3 linked regions of the Cricetulus griseus genome follow. The protein of the gene in region 1 purifies or fractionates together with the protein of each later gene. This does not show direct contact. Links are inferred from orthologs where the notes say so. Each region holds a gene or a part of one and is shown on either strand. Other genes may lie near its edges.

Region 1 (3,646 bases):
TTGAGGGTCCAGGTGGGCCAGAGGGCTTGTGCTGGGAAGGCTCCAGGACTGCCCCCGGGCTGAGAGTGGACTGGACTCTCTTGGGATGAGGATGCTAAGGCTACTTCTTGAGGAGACTTCGGTAGCCAAGGTCTGTTGGCATAGGCTCTATTGGTGGGACAGTCCCTGCCACGGCAGTGGGGGAGAAACATGGATTCACAGGGCCTAGTCCTCTTATGCTGGCCCCTTGCTCTGGGAACAGCTTGGAAAGTAGTAGGCTGCCAGCTGACACCCGGGCCTGCTCTTACCACAGGGCTTATCTGATGCCACAGGCCTCAGTGAAACCTTGAAGGTAAATAGTAGGGCCCTTGGTCTATTCCCACCCTCTTGTGCTCAGCCTGTCCAGAGCAGGTAGGGAGTTACAGAGCCCGGCTCACCTCCGCATCACCCTGAAGCCCCTGATCACATGCAGATCTAAGCAAGCACCGTCCACAACAAACTAGGGACAAACCACGAGCTCCAATGAGGCGGTGGGGATAGGTAGATAGGAAGCCAGACTGCTTCCCTGCCCGTGCACATTCACAGCTCATTTAGAGCTCCTGCTCTAAAAGGGTCACATTCCCAGGCCTCAGGCAAGCAGCTCAGGCGAGATTCCTAAAGAGCTGATGGACCAGACCCCAGGGCAGGGGATCTCACAGCTAGCTAAGGGAGGTCCTTCCTGAAGAAACTGGGGGTTCAAGCCTCCACTGGTCATCCAGTTGTTTCCCAGGGCACCCAGCCATGCAGGGAGGCTCTGGTGCCAGGGGCTGCCCCCTTCTGGATGCCAGGAATGAATTGCTGTGTACAGCTCACAGTAGGTGTGTGCTATCACTGAAGAGAGAACACAGCAGAGTGACGGCTAGGCTGAAGTGTAGTGGGGCAGCACAAGTCCCCACTGGGTTCCTTGGAGGAGGGGGAGTGATCTGCTCAGACCACCTGGGCATGTCCTCCCCTGCTTGGTCACTCTTCTCTGTGAGCCCTGACTGGCCCCGCAGAAGAGCTGTCAACCGTGCAAATGCACCCCCTTCCCCTCATATGTGGAACTGTGACTGGGCAGGGCAGCAAGGCAGCAGCGCTGGATGCCACGTGGCTGAGTCCCTAGCCCTTAACACCAGAAGCGCTCCCCTCACAACTGTGCTTTCCCCGTGAGGCAAGTCGGCCCCTCTCTACCTTCACTCACACCCTTGGCTGCAGCACCCTCAATACTTTCCCATCAGCTTGGACTTGCTGAGGCCGGGGCCCATGCCTGGGTCCCGAGAGAAAAAGGACATGACCACAAGCTGGGAGGGGCAGCTATGGCATCCTGCAGGTTGGCATCCACTGCCACCTAGGAACAAGTCCTCCCGGCCATTCCGGCTGGAGCAGCAGCTGAAGGGCACAGATGCCAGGCAGCATCTCCAGGCCAACCAGTTCCCCAGGGAGCAGAAGGGAAAGTGTGGGGACGGCTCTGTGGGGGAGAGGACTGCCCTGAGTCACTGGGTGTATCTAAGTCCTGGCTGAAAGGCCATCCGTCCCTCTCTGTTTGTCAGGCCTGAGCCACACATCATAGCTAAACAAACAGGAGTGACCAGTCAGCCCAGGGACAGAGTCACCACAGTCATCTCTCTAATTGGGAGTGGTCCTGTGACAATGACGGCTGACATCCACTGATGCTGGGGAGGACCGAGGTGCTTGTCTTCTCTTCTCCTCAGAGGTGGGCTTTCACCCAGACCCCAAGCCTCTCCTTTGGGAAAGAACAGTCACTTCTTTCCCACTCTCCTGAGAGAAACAGCCTGGATACTTTAAAGATTTATTTATGAGACACAGTCTCATGTAACCCAGGCTGGCCTCAAACTCACTATGTAGCCAAGAGCTAAGGATAGCTGAGTGTCTGATCTTCCTGTCCCTACTTCCCAAACTCTGGGACGACAGGCAGGCACTGCCATGACTAGCTTAGATGGCCAATTAAACAAACAAACAAACAAACAAACAAATACCTGTGCGTGCTGAAATTTAAAGTTAGTCATCTATGTAGCTCTAAGATTTTCAAAAAGAACCATTTTCAAAAAGAACCAAAAAGAACTGGGGACATGTACAACACATTTGCAGCACACAGAGGTCCAGGCTCCATTCCCAGCACCACAAAAATAAGTGAACAAAAATACCAAAAGCAAATTCCTCAGCCTGGAAATCTCAAGTCTGAGGTCCATGGGCTGTGCTTTGGCCTAACCAGGCTCCTATGTCATAGGCTCTGCTTTAAGGAACTGGGCTCTGGCAGCTCACTCCAGGCTTGCTCTCTCTGCTTCCTTCTGGTGTGCTGGGAAGGCAGGTCAGGCTGACTTCCGCTCTACCTGGTTCATCTGGGACTGCCCCCCTCCCTGCTCCCTGCTTCCTTCTGCATGCTAATTCTGACAACTGAACAGCTTTGCCTGGCTCCCTGGCAAGGAGTGGGCCTGAGATGGAACTCCCACTACCAAATGCTCGAAGCCCAGGAGGGGGTGAGGGCTGCACACCAGGGTGGGGGTGGGGGGTGGGGAGAGAGGGCAGGATGCCAATGTCAGCCAAGGACCAGCCAATTCTGAATTTGGGGCTTGTTTTGCTCCTGGCCTATCATGTGTCAACTACTGGAAAAACCCAGCTCTGTATAGACCCAAGGATGTGGGGACAGTGCTCAGCTGCTCTGCCAGCTGTGGCTCACAGAGGTTACCTTGTGGGTCGGCTTTCTTGAAAGCGTTGCCTGCGTCCACGAAGCAGGTAGCTGCATCATGCTTGCTCTGGAGCTGTAGGTGCAGCTGGGCAGCCTGGCAGAAAGCGTTCCCGGCAGCTGGAATAGAACAGATCGTCCCAGCTTCAATGCAGTTGCAGTCACTGCCCAGAGAGGCACATTAGGCTCACAATTAGAATACAGGTAGAGGCCAAGATCAGCCCACTCCAGCCCAAAAGCAGCCTGAACCCCTCACAGAGCTTCCTGGTGGTATGCACCTGGTAGAGTGAGGACGTCAGGAAGCAGCCTCGGGGGAAGCCTGAGCCCAGGGGCACAGAAACAGCCAGGTAAACACAGTGCCAAACCCATGTCCCCCCCCCCTCTGCCGGCACCTCCAGAGCCACCACTTCCACAGAGAGGAAGGAAAGACAGACAGAGAGCTGAGGGCTGCAAATACATGAGACATGACACCCAGGCTCTTGGGCTCTTTGAACAGGGAAGCCCAGAACCTGAACTAAAGGTGGGGATGGGGCGATTGGGGGGGGGGGAAGGGATGTGCTCTGGGAAGGCACAGGTGAGATCAACCCATGTGACACTTCCCACTTGCTCCCTTTCCTAGCCCATTTCTGTCCTCCACAACTCCCCAAAGCTCTCAGGTGCACCCCTGCTATGTCTGAGTCCTTGCTAGAAAGGGAAACAGGACGAGGACAGCAAGAGCCAGAGTCCGCGCAGACAGTGCTAATGCCCGAGGCAGCCATGGGCTCCACACCATTTTGCTCAGACCTCCCCTAGACTGGCTAAGGGGAGGCAGCAGGGTTTTCCCTGCTGTGGGTGGTGCTCCAATACCACCTCAGCTAAGGCACTACTTTGCATGCTCCTCCAGTCCCAGCTGAGTGGGAGCCTCCAAGCTATGGGAGGTCCCACCTGTCCACTCTCCTGAGCACA
Region 2 (4,429 bases), on another chromosome or scaffold:
AGATTATAACTGTATGAATGAAACAAAAGTTTAATTGTTGTTTAAAGAAAACACTTCCTGTAGTTTTGCAGCTATTTCCCTTCTAACAGACGATGTGCCCAAAAAATCAATCACTATAGTACAACTGCCATCCACATGCGTAATTTGGGTTGTGATCATCAGACCCATCATCAAATCAACTATTTCCTTCTTACCTTTTATGCCACTGTCCAAAAGTCACTTTCCAGGGCTCTTATTCATGCCAGGCTCTCCTTATTTGTACCTCTTTATTTCTGTGACAGAGAAATATAAGGCTTGGAGCTGATGAGACAGAACCGTTATTAGGATCATACAACTCTTACATGCATGACAGACAGCTCACAACCACCTGCAACTCCAGCTCCAGGTGTTCCAAAACCCTCTCTGGATTCCACAGCCAGTACACTTGCACTCATACATGTATACACACACTTAAATATAATTATTTTAATTTAATTTTTGAGGCAGGATTTCTATGTATAGCCCTGCTGTCCTGGAACTCTGTAGACCAGGCTGGCCTTGAACTCAGTGATCCATCAGCCTCTGCCTCCCAAGTGCTGGGGTTAAAAGCATGTGACACCACTCCTGGCCCATCTTTTAACTTTGTAAGAAAAAGAAATATAAGACTTTGCACCACCACTAACAACCCTAGACTTTGTCATCTCTGCACAATGCATGTTACATTTTATTTATTGAGTTCAATGGTCAATGAGTTCAAACTAGTAAAACCCAGGGCTTCAAAGACAAAAAAAAAAAAAAAAAAAAACCAACACCAAAACATTCCCCCAGGAACCTGCTCCCCTACACACCTTGGAAAATGGAATGTGGGACTTTGATTAAATCTATCTATCTATCTATCTATCTATCTATCTATCTATCTATCTATCTCCATGTTTAAATACTGAGCTCTCTCACCCAAACTTTTGAAGAGCAGGCTTTTTGTGCAAACCATACACAGAAAGGACTTCATGATTGTTGACATATTTCACTTAACGGCAGATTAGATGTGGTAAGACCGGTTTGCCTTCCACACCAGATCATAAATTACCCAAGGGCAGAGACAAAATCTATTTTGTTCAACATATGACTCGGTCTTTGCATAATGTCTATGCTTAAACCTGTTGTGAGAACCCAGGGCAGCCTAATGAACTACACTGGCGAAGCCCCTAGAAGCCCAGTTTCCTCTTCTGAAAGCATGTGACACTTAAGCCCCCCCAATATCAGTGTTTTACCATTAGAGGGCAGGCAGGACTCTGCTCACCTATCTATCAAGGGTTAAGAGTAAACATTTAATCGAATCAGAGAGCTGAACGAACTGCGATGACAGATAGGTTGATGGAGGCTCCTATGCTCTCCCAGTCTCTGCGCAACAGGGCTGACCTTCCACGCCCCTGCACAGCCGCGACCCATCTGCCCAACTCCCTCACTTAACTACAATTCCCAGCATGCACCGCAGGCCCGGTGTGCCCGGATGAGGCGGCCGAGGCGCCCGTCCCGCGGGCCCCCTGGGGCCCTTCGCCTTGGTACCTCCCCAGCCCGGCTGGCAGTCTCCAGCTCGGAGACAGCCGATCGTCCCCCGCGCGGCGCCGCGCCCCTGGAGTAGCCGGGAGTCGTCCTCGCCCCCGGCTTTCCGTCAGGCTTTGGCGCCCGGCGCCCGCGCGGCGACAGCAAGGGGAGGGCGTCCGGCTCGGAGGACCCCGGAAGCACCTGGTTCCGGCTGGCCCGGGTACGGCGGTCGCGGTGATGGCTTCGGGACCCGGCAGCTGAGCGCTGAAGGGTGAGTGGGCCCTGCGCCCGGAATCTCAGAGGCCGACGCTCACGTGCAGCCTGCGCCATGGCCACCTCCGCCGCCTCCTCCGAGCATTTCGAGAAGCTGCACGAGATCTTCCGCGGCCTTCTTGAAGACCTACGAGGAGTTCCCGAGCGGCTGCTGGGGACCGCGGGGACAGGTGAGGCGGGGGCGGGACCAGACCCGAACACCACCCGCCCGGTGCTGTCCTCCCAGATGCGGACCCCTGGCTCCCCCGGCACGCCCCCTGCTGCTGTCCGGCCCGCGAAGCCCAGGGTCTGCTGCAGCCACTTGGCTTGCAATGAGATAGACAGACACCAGGGTGTCGTCTCTTAGGGATCCTCTAGTGTCCTACTCCCCCCAACCCCAATTCTTAGTTATCTGCCTCTCCCAGGAGCAAAGGAGGTTCTTAAATCTGCGGTCCTGTATTTCATTAAAACGACTTCTAAAAAAAATCGTAAGATTGGAGGTTGGGGATGTAGGAGTTTGGTAGTTTGATAGGCAATGAAAAATTTTAATTAATTCTAACCATAGCGTTTAGCTTATAGGTGAGACAGAGGCCGGAAGTGAGGGAAGGCAAACAGTTACATTGAAGAGGAACTTGAATGTGTCACATAATACTGTTGGATGTCTTGGGGGAAATCCGTAAGGATCATAAGCAGTTGGGTAATGTGGATTTCATTTTAGAAGCAAGGCTGCGGTAGCTGGATAGAGGATGTGAGAATGGATATGAGGCTGTGTTAGGAGCTTCCATGACAGTTGACTAGGTAAGCATGGGACTCTGGAGAGTGAGCATTAAATCCAACAGGTGGTTCCGAGGCAGACTTATGAGACTGGTGGATAAGAATAGGAAGAAAGATTGAAGAGTTTCCGTGTTTTCTCACGTGATCAGTTGAGTGGATGAACTTAAATATGAGGAGCAGATTGGTTTGAGTTATAGATGTGACTGGCTACCTGTAGAGTGTATTCTGTATCTAGCCTGACAAAATATTTTTCTGCCATTAAAACCATCATCAAGAATTCATTAATAAAGTAGATATTGTAAAAACCAAGAATTTGCCAGTGGCAAATTTTCTTTTCTTTCTTTCTTTTTTTTTTCTTTTTTCTTTTTCTTTTTTTTTGTTTTTTGTTTTGTTTTGTTTTTTGTTTTTTGAGACAGGGTTTCTCTGTATTGCTTTGGAGCCTGTCCTGGAACTCTCTTTGTAGACCAGGCTGGCCTTGAACTCCCAGAGATCCGCCAGCCTCTGCCTCCCAAGTGCTGGGATTAAAGGCGTGTTCCACCAACACCCAGCCCCAGAGGCAAACACTTTTAATCCTAGCACCTGGCATGTAGAAGCAGGAGAATCTGTGTGAGTTAAAGGCCAGCTTGATCTACCTAGCAGACTAGGTTTTATATAGTAAGACATTGGGGGGGCGGGGCAGACTGGCTTCAGACTGGCTTAGTAGCTATGTGACCTTGCAAGTTTTTTAACCAAACTAGCTTCCTCTACAAAATAAAATAGCATCTAACTTCATGGGGTTTTTTGTGAGGAGTGAATGAGTTAATATATGTAAATCCCTTAAAAATACTATCTGGCAAGAGCTACTAGCTATTATTCATATTTGGGAATTTACTGTTTTTTTTTGTTTAATTTAAAATATTAGCTCTTTATGTAGCTAGCTATTCTTAGGATGCTCTGTTTTGTTTGTTTGGTTTTGGTTTTCTTGTTTCTCTGTGGAGCCCTGGCTGACCTGGAACTCTCTCTGTAGACCAGGCTGGCCTCGGACTCATAAGTACATCTGCATCTGCCTCCTGAGTTCTGGGATTAAAGGGGTGCTCCATTACAGACCCAGATTCAGAACACTTACTTCCTAATGTACTCAACACTTTACATATTTATGATACAGTATATTGCTTGGCTTTCTGTGACTAGAAAAGGAGTTTGGAAATGTGCTCTACAAATCAGCACCATCAACACCACCTGGGAACTTGTTAGACACACATGCTTACCCCCCACCCCAACCTCCACCCCCACCCCAGCAAACAGAATCACTAACTGTTGTGACAAGCAGTCTGTCTTAACTGCTCTCAGAAGGATTTCTGGGGCTGGCTTAAGTTTGAGAACCAATGATCTAGAAATGAAATAATATTTTGTTCTGTGTAGTGTGTGTAATAAACTCCCAGGCATAGTGCCCAGCACGCCTGTATCTGAGTGTGGTAGTGCACACTTAGGAGGCAGAGGCAGCAATGGGTCTCTCTGACTTTGAGGCCAGCCTGGGGTTACACAGTTGAGACCCTTTCTCAAAACATAAAATGAACAACATATATATTTGTTAAATTATTGTAAAAATCATTTTTGGTTGTTAAAGGTACTATGAGTTCTTAGAAGAAAATAGCTGAGTAGGCATAATAATGTGTTTTTTTCATATTTTCATTACTCTTCAAATCGATATATATATACCTGTTAAAACAACCAAAGCAAAAGAGATACTTATTTCCCCAAAGTGTAGTCTGTATTCTCTCTTGGCCCTTGAAGGATAACTGTCACGGTGTGTCCTAATTTAGGAAGTTTTTGTGGCAATGACAGTCTTGCCATGTATGGTAATCATTAATCTCAAAGCCTGTTTCCATTTTATTCCAGA
Region 3 (3,646 bases), on another chromosome or scaffold:
TTCCAGAGGCAGAGAGGGCTCAGTGGAGAGGTTTTTGTTTGGGAGATACTCAGGGCTCACTAACTCCACAGGGGTTCCTCATCAACCTACTTGGTGACCTAGAGCCAGTCAAAAAAACCTGTCCCCACCAGAGATGGCAAGTATGAGATGACAGTAGGTGGGGAAGAAGAGTTCATCCAATTTCCATACACTGCAGGTGTCATGTCCAACAGTTCTAGTCTGAGTCCTTCTACTGAAATACAGGACAAGAACTGAGGACAGGAGGGGAGAGTAATGAAGGCAACACATTCCTTTTCTGGGTCTAACAGGGGTCCTTTTCAGGGGGAGAAAGCTACAATGTGCTCAGTGTATGTGCAGGCATATCGATAATGATTGACATACAAAGATGTGGAAGGACCCTTCCTTCTGCCAAAACCCAGGGTCACTTTACATGAATTCACAGTAAGGCCTTGGAGTGAGAAACAGCGAGTAAATAGAAGGCAATAGTTAGGAGACTGACTGACATCCTGCCCACATCTTTGCATATACTTGTGAAAGAAAGAAATGCACGGTTTTCTTCTTCCTGCACAGTATCAAAAGCTCAAGGCATTCACAATTAGTCTGCCCAGAACTTTAGAGGTGTTGATCTTACCCAAATGTGTACACACACATTTTTTTCCCCATTGAAACTAAAATTTCTTAAGACCCACATTTGAACACATATGTTAAATTACATACTGTACAATCAATGACATTTCTTAGGAGTTTAAAAGAGGCTTTGAATCTTTTCATCACAATGGAGTAGAATTCCTTTTCAGTTTCTTTAGAGCTGCCGAACTTTTTTTTCTGTGCTTTTTATATTGACATCTAACTTGTCCACTTTGGTTGTTAGCCGGTCAAGAATGTCATCCTGCTCCTCAATTTCCGTCTGCATTCCTAAGGCTATGTCCTTGAGTCGGCCCAATCCCATGGACAGCTCATCTGTGAGAAGGAAGTGATAGGCAGTTACAGTGTCTGCAGGGGCTTCTTGCCCCTCTGGATGCTCAGTGGTATCTGGACTGCAGAGTCCTGTCTAAAACCGAGTGCCACAGCCTGTAGCATATGACTCAAAAAACATGGAAGTGAAGAGAAATCTACTTACTACATAGTAATATGTGGTTAGTGTAGGTAGAAGCCACTGTCTACCTCCTCCCTCCAGATAACCAGGGTTAACATGTTTGTTTGTTTGTTTGTTTTAGCATAGTCTTGATAGATAGCTCTGGCTGGCCTGAAAGTTACAATGCAATCCAGGCTGGCCTTGAAGTCAGAGTGATCTCCCTGCTTCTGCTGCCTGAGAAGACTTAGGGTCTCTACCACGTACAGCATTGCTCCCCTAAGTGCTGGAGAATCAAACTTAGGGCCTTGCATGTGCTAGGGAAACACTCCAACACTGAGTCACACCTCCAGCCTCTTTATATTTGTCATGTTGAGACAGGATCTCACAAACTTTCAGGCTGGCCCTGGATTTGCAACCCTATCTTAATCACAGGTACCTGGGATGACAGGTGTTTGCCTGGCATACTATGCTTCTTGAGATCTTTGAAACATGTGACCTTACGTTTCCTGTAAAGTAAAAGTTTAGTGGTCACTCACCCAGGCTTCAAGAAAGCTTCTTGGGTTTGAGACAGTAAGGACAGGAAAAAAGGCTGAGATAGACCAGCCTGGTGGGCTGTGGGACATGCCTCTGTGGATATGAGCACTTGCTGGGCAAGCATGAGATCTGAGTTCAGCTCCTTCGCACTCACATCAGCCGTGTGGCTTTATCCTGGATGCTCTTAAGCCCCAGGGATGCTTAGGTCTGGTCAGGAGTCAAGAAAGTAGTGAGGATGGCTTGGCTACAGTGACAGCAGGAAATGGGGAGAAGTGGACAGATTCCTGACAGTGAGGCAGTACTGGGCGCCCTGGCTGTGCTCAGCATCAACTGTCTGGAGGCTGCTGTAGCTCCCAAACTTACCTAGGTTGTTGTCGATCTTTTGATGATAGGCTCGAAGACTTGAGTTCTTTGGGTAAACCTCAGCAGTCACAGCAGAAGCAGGCCCTTTGGGGGTTGGGTCTAGTTCAGAAAGAAACACCAGAGGGACAGTTCACTGACGGTCACTGCTCCATGAAATTGGCCTATTCTTTTCTGAAGTCCTAGGAAACTGTCCCCAGTAATCACTCATACCAGGAAGGAACTAAAGGGGTGGGAGGAAGGAGGTAGCTGCCTCTGAGGCCATGCAGAGGGACAGGAGCGGGAATGGGACAGGGGTTATAGGCTGGAGAAGTCAAGTCTGAGCTCTGGCTGGTCCTTCAACATTAGCAGATTAAGGACTCTCAATTTACAAGTCAACAGGTGAGATACGGAAAGAGACATGACAATACAACAGGGAACTGTCAATGCAAAGCTGCAGGCTCACAGGCAAGCAAGCTCTGGAAGACAGGTTGGTTTTTTGTTTGTTTGTTTTAATGCTTAAGATTGGAACCAGGGCTTTGTGCATGCTAGACAAGTTCTCTCTACTGTAAATCCCGTGAACTCCAAGCTTACCTCAAACTCTTGTACTCAAGCTATTCCTGCAATATTTGTGACTACAGGTGCATACTACTACACCAGGCAGAGCTGGCAGAGACAGCTTTAAAAATCAAAGTTGTTGTGTGCCCGTCTATAATCTAGCAGATAGAGCAAGAATATCAGAATTTTAAGGTCATCATCTACTAATGAATTTGAAGCCAGACCGGGCTAAATGAGACTCAGTCTCAAAAGAAACAAAACCACATCAAACCATATAAAACATGAAAAAAGCAAAGATGAAAATCATTGCCTGGTGTGGTGGTTTGCAGCTGAAATCTCAGCACTTGGCAGGCTAAGGCAGCAGGATCATGAATTCAAAGCCAGCCTGGGCTACACAGTAAACAATCTCAAAGAGACTAAAGGAAATGAAGTTATGCTACAAAACTGAGCTTACTATTTTTGTTTTTGCTGGGCCGTGGTGGAGCACACCTTTAATCCCAGCACGCCAAAGGCAGAGGCAGGAGGATCTCTGAGCTTGGTCTACATAGTTCCAGGACAGCCAGGACTACACAGAGAAATCCTGTCTCAAAAAAAAAAAAAAAACCAAAACAAACAAACAAAAAACAACAACAACAACAAAAAAAAACAAAAACAAAAACAAAGAAAGAAATTCTATTTCTAAACATATACAGAAATAACCTCTGTCCTCTTTTGAGAGTCTTGTGTAGCTCAGGCTGGCCTTGAATTTGGTATGTAAGTATGTAGTTGAGGTGGCCCTGAACTACTGATCCTTCTGCCTTCATCCCGAGTGCTGGAATTACAGTTTTGTGCTACCACACCTAGCCTCTCCTTTTCTTTTCTTATCTTTTGAGACAGGGTTTTCCACTGTGTTCCAGTATGGATTTGAACTCATGGTAATGTTTTGCCTCAGTCTCCCAAGTGACTAAAACGCCTAGTATGTTTGTTTGCTTGTTTTTGGTTTTCTGATAGCCTGGCTATATAATCTAGGCTGGCCTCAAACTCAAACTTACAATTTCCCTGCCTTAGCTTCCCAAGTACTGGGACTACCTGGACCCAATATGATACCCCAGAATAAATTCTCTTATCTCAGGAAGCCAGCCGATTAGCCATTCTAATATA

What was found.
Region 2: the proteins of Napa (region 1) and Vti1b purify together in Homo sapiens (affinity purification with mass spectrometry; 3 studies listed by BioGRID and IntAct, counting the BioPlex papers as one, with this or other methods). This does not show direct contact. The link is inferred for Cricetulus griseus from reciprocal best matches to the Homo sapiens genes NAPA and VTI1B.
Region 3: the proteins of Napa (region 1) and Snap29 purify together in Homo sapiens (affinity purification with mass spectrometry; 3 studies listed by BioGRID and IntAct, with this or other methods). This does not show direct contact. The link is inferred for Cricetulus griseus from reciprocal best matches to the Homo sapiens genes NAPA and SNAP29.

The regions. Positions count from the first base shown.
Region 1 is NC_048602.1:10,772,254-10,775,899, reverse strand, and holds part of Napa (alpha-soluble NSF attachment protein), read right to left. Parts: intron 2,822-3,646; coding exon 2,705-2,821; intron 1-2,704. UniProt on the Homo sapiens protein: Required for vesicular transport between the endoplasmic reticulum and the Golgi apparatus. Together with GNA12 promotes CDH5 localization to plasma membrane.
Region 2 is NC_048598.1:124,459,475-124,463,903, forward strand, and holds the start of Vti1b (vesicle transport through interaction with t-SNAREs homolog 1B), read left to right. Parts: upstream 1-1,540; 5' UTR 1,541-1,852; coding exon 1,853-1,967; intron 1,968-4,429. UniProt on the Homo sapiens protein: V-SNARE that mediates vesicle transport pathways through interactions with t-SNAREs on the target membrane. These interactions are proposed to mediate aspects of the specificity of vesicle trafficking and to promote fusion of the lipid bilayers.
Region 3 is NC_048597.1:71,888,144-71,891,789, forward strand, and holds part of Snap29 (synaptosomal-associated protein 29), read right to left. Parts: intron 2,072-3,646; coding exon 1,973-2,071; intron 961-1,972; coding exon 803-960; 3' UTR 1-802. UniProt on the Homo sapiens protein: SNAREs, soluble N-ethylmaleimide-sensitive factor-attachment protein receptors, are essential proteins for fusion of cellular membranes.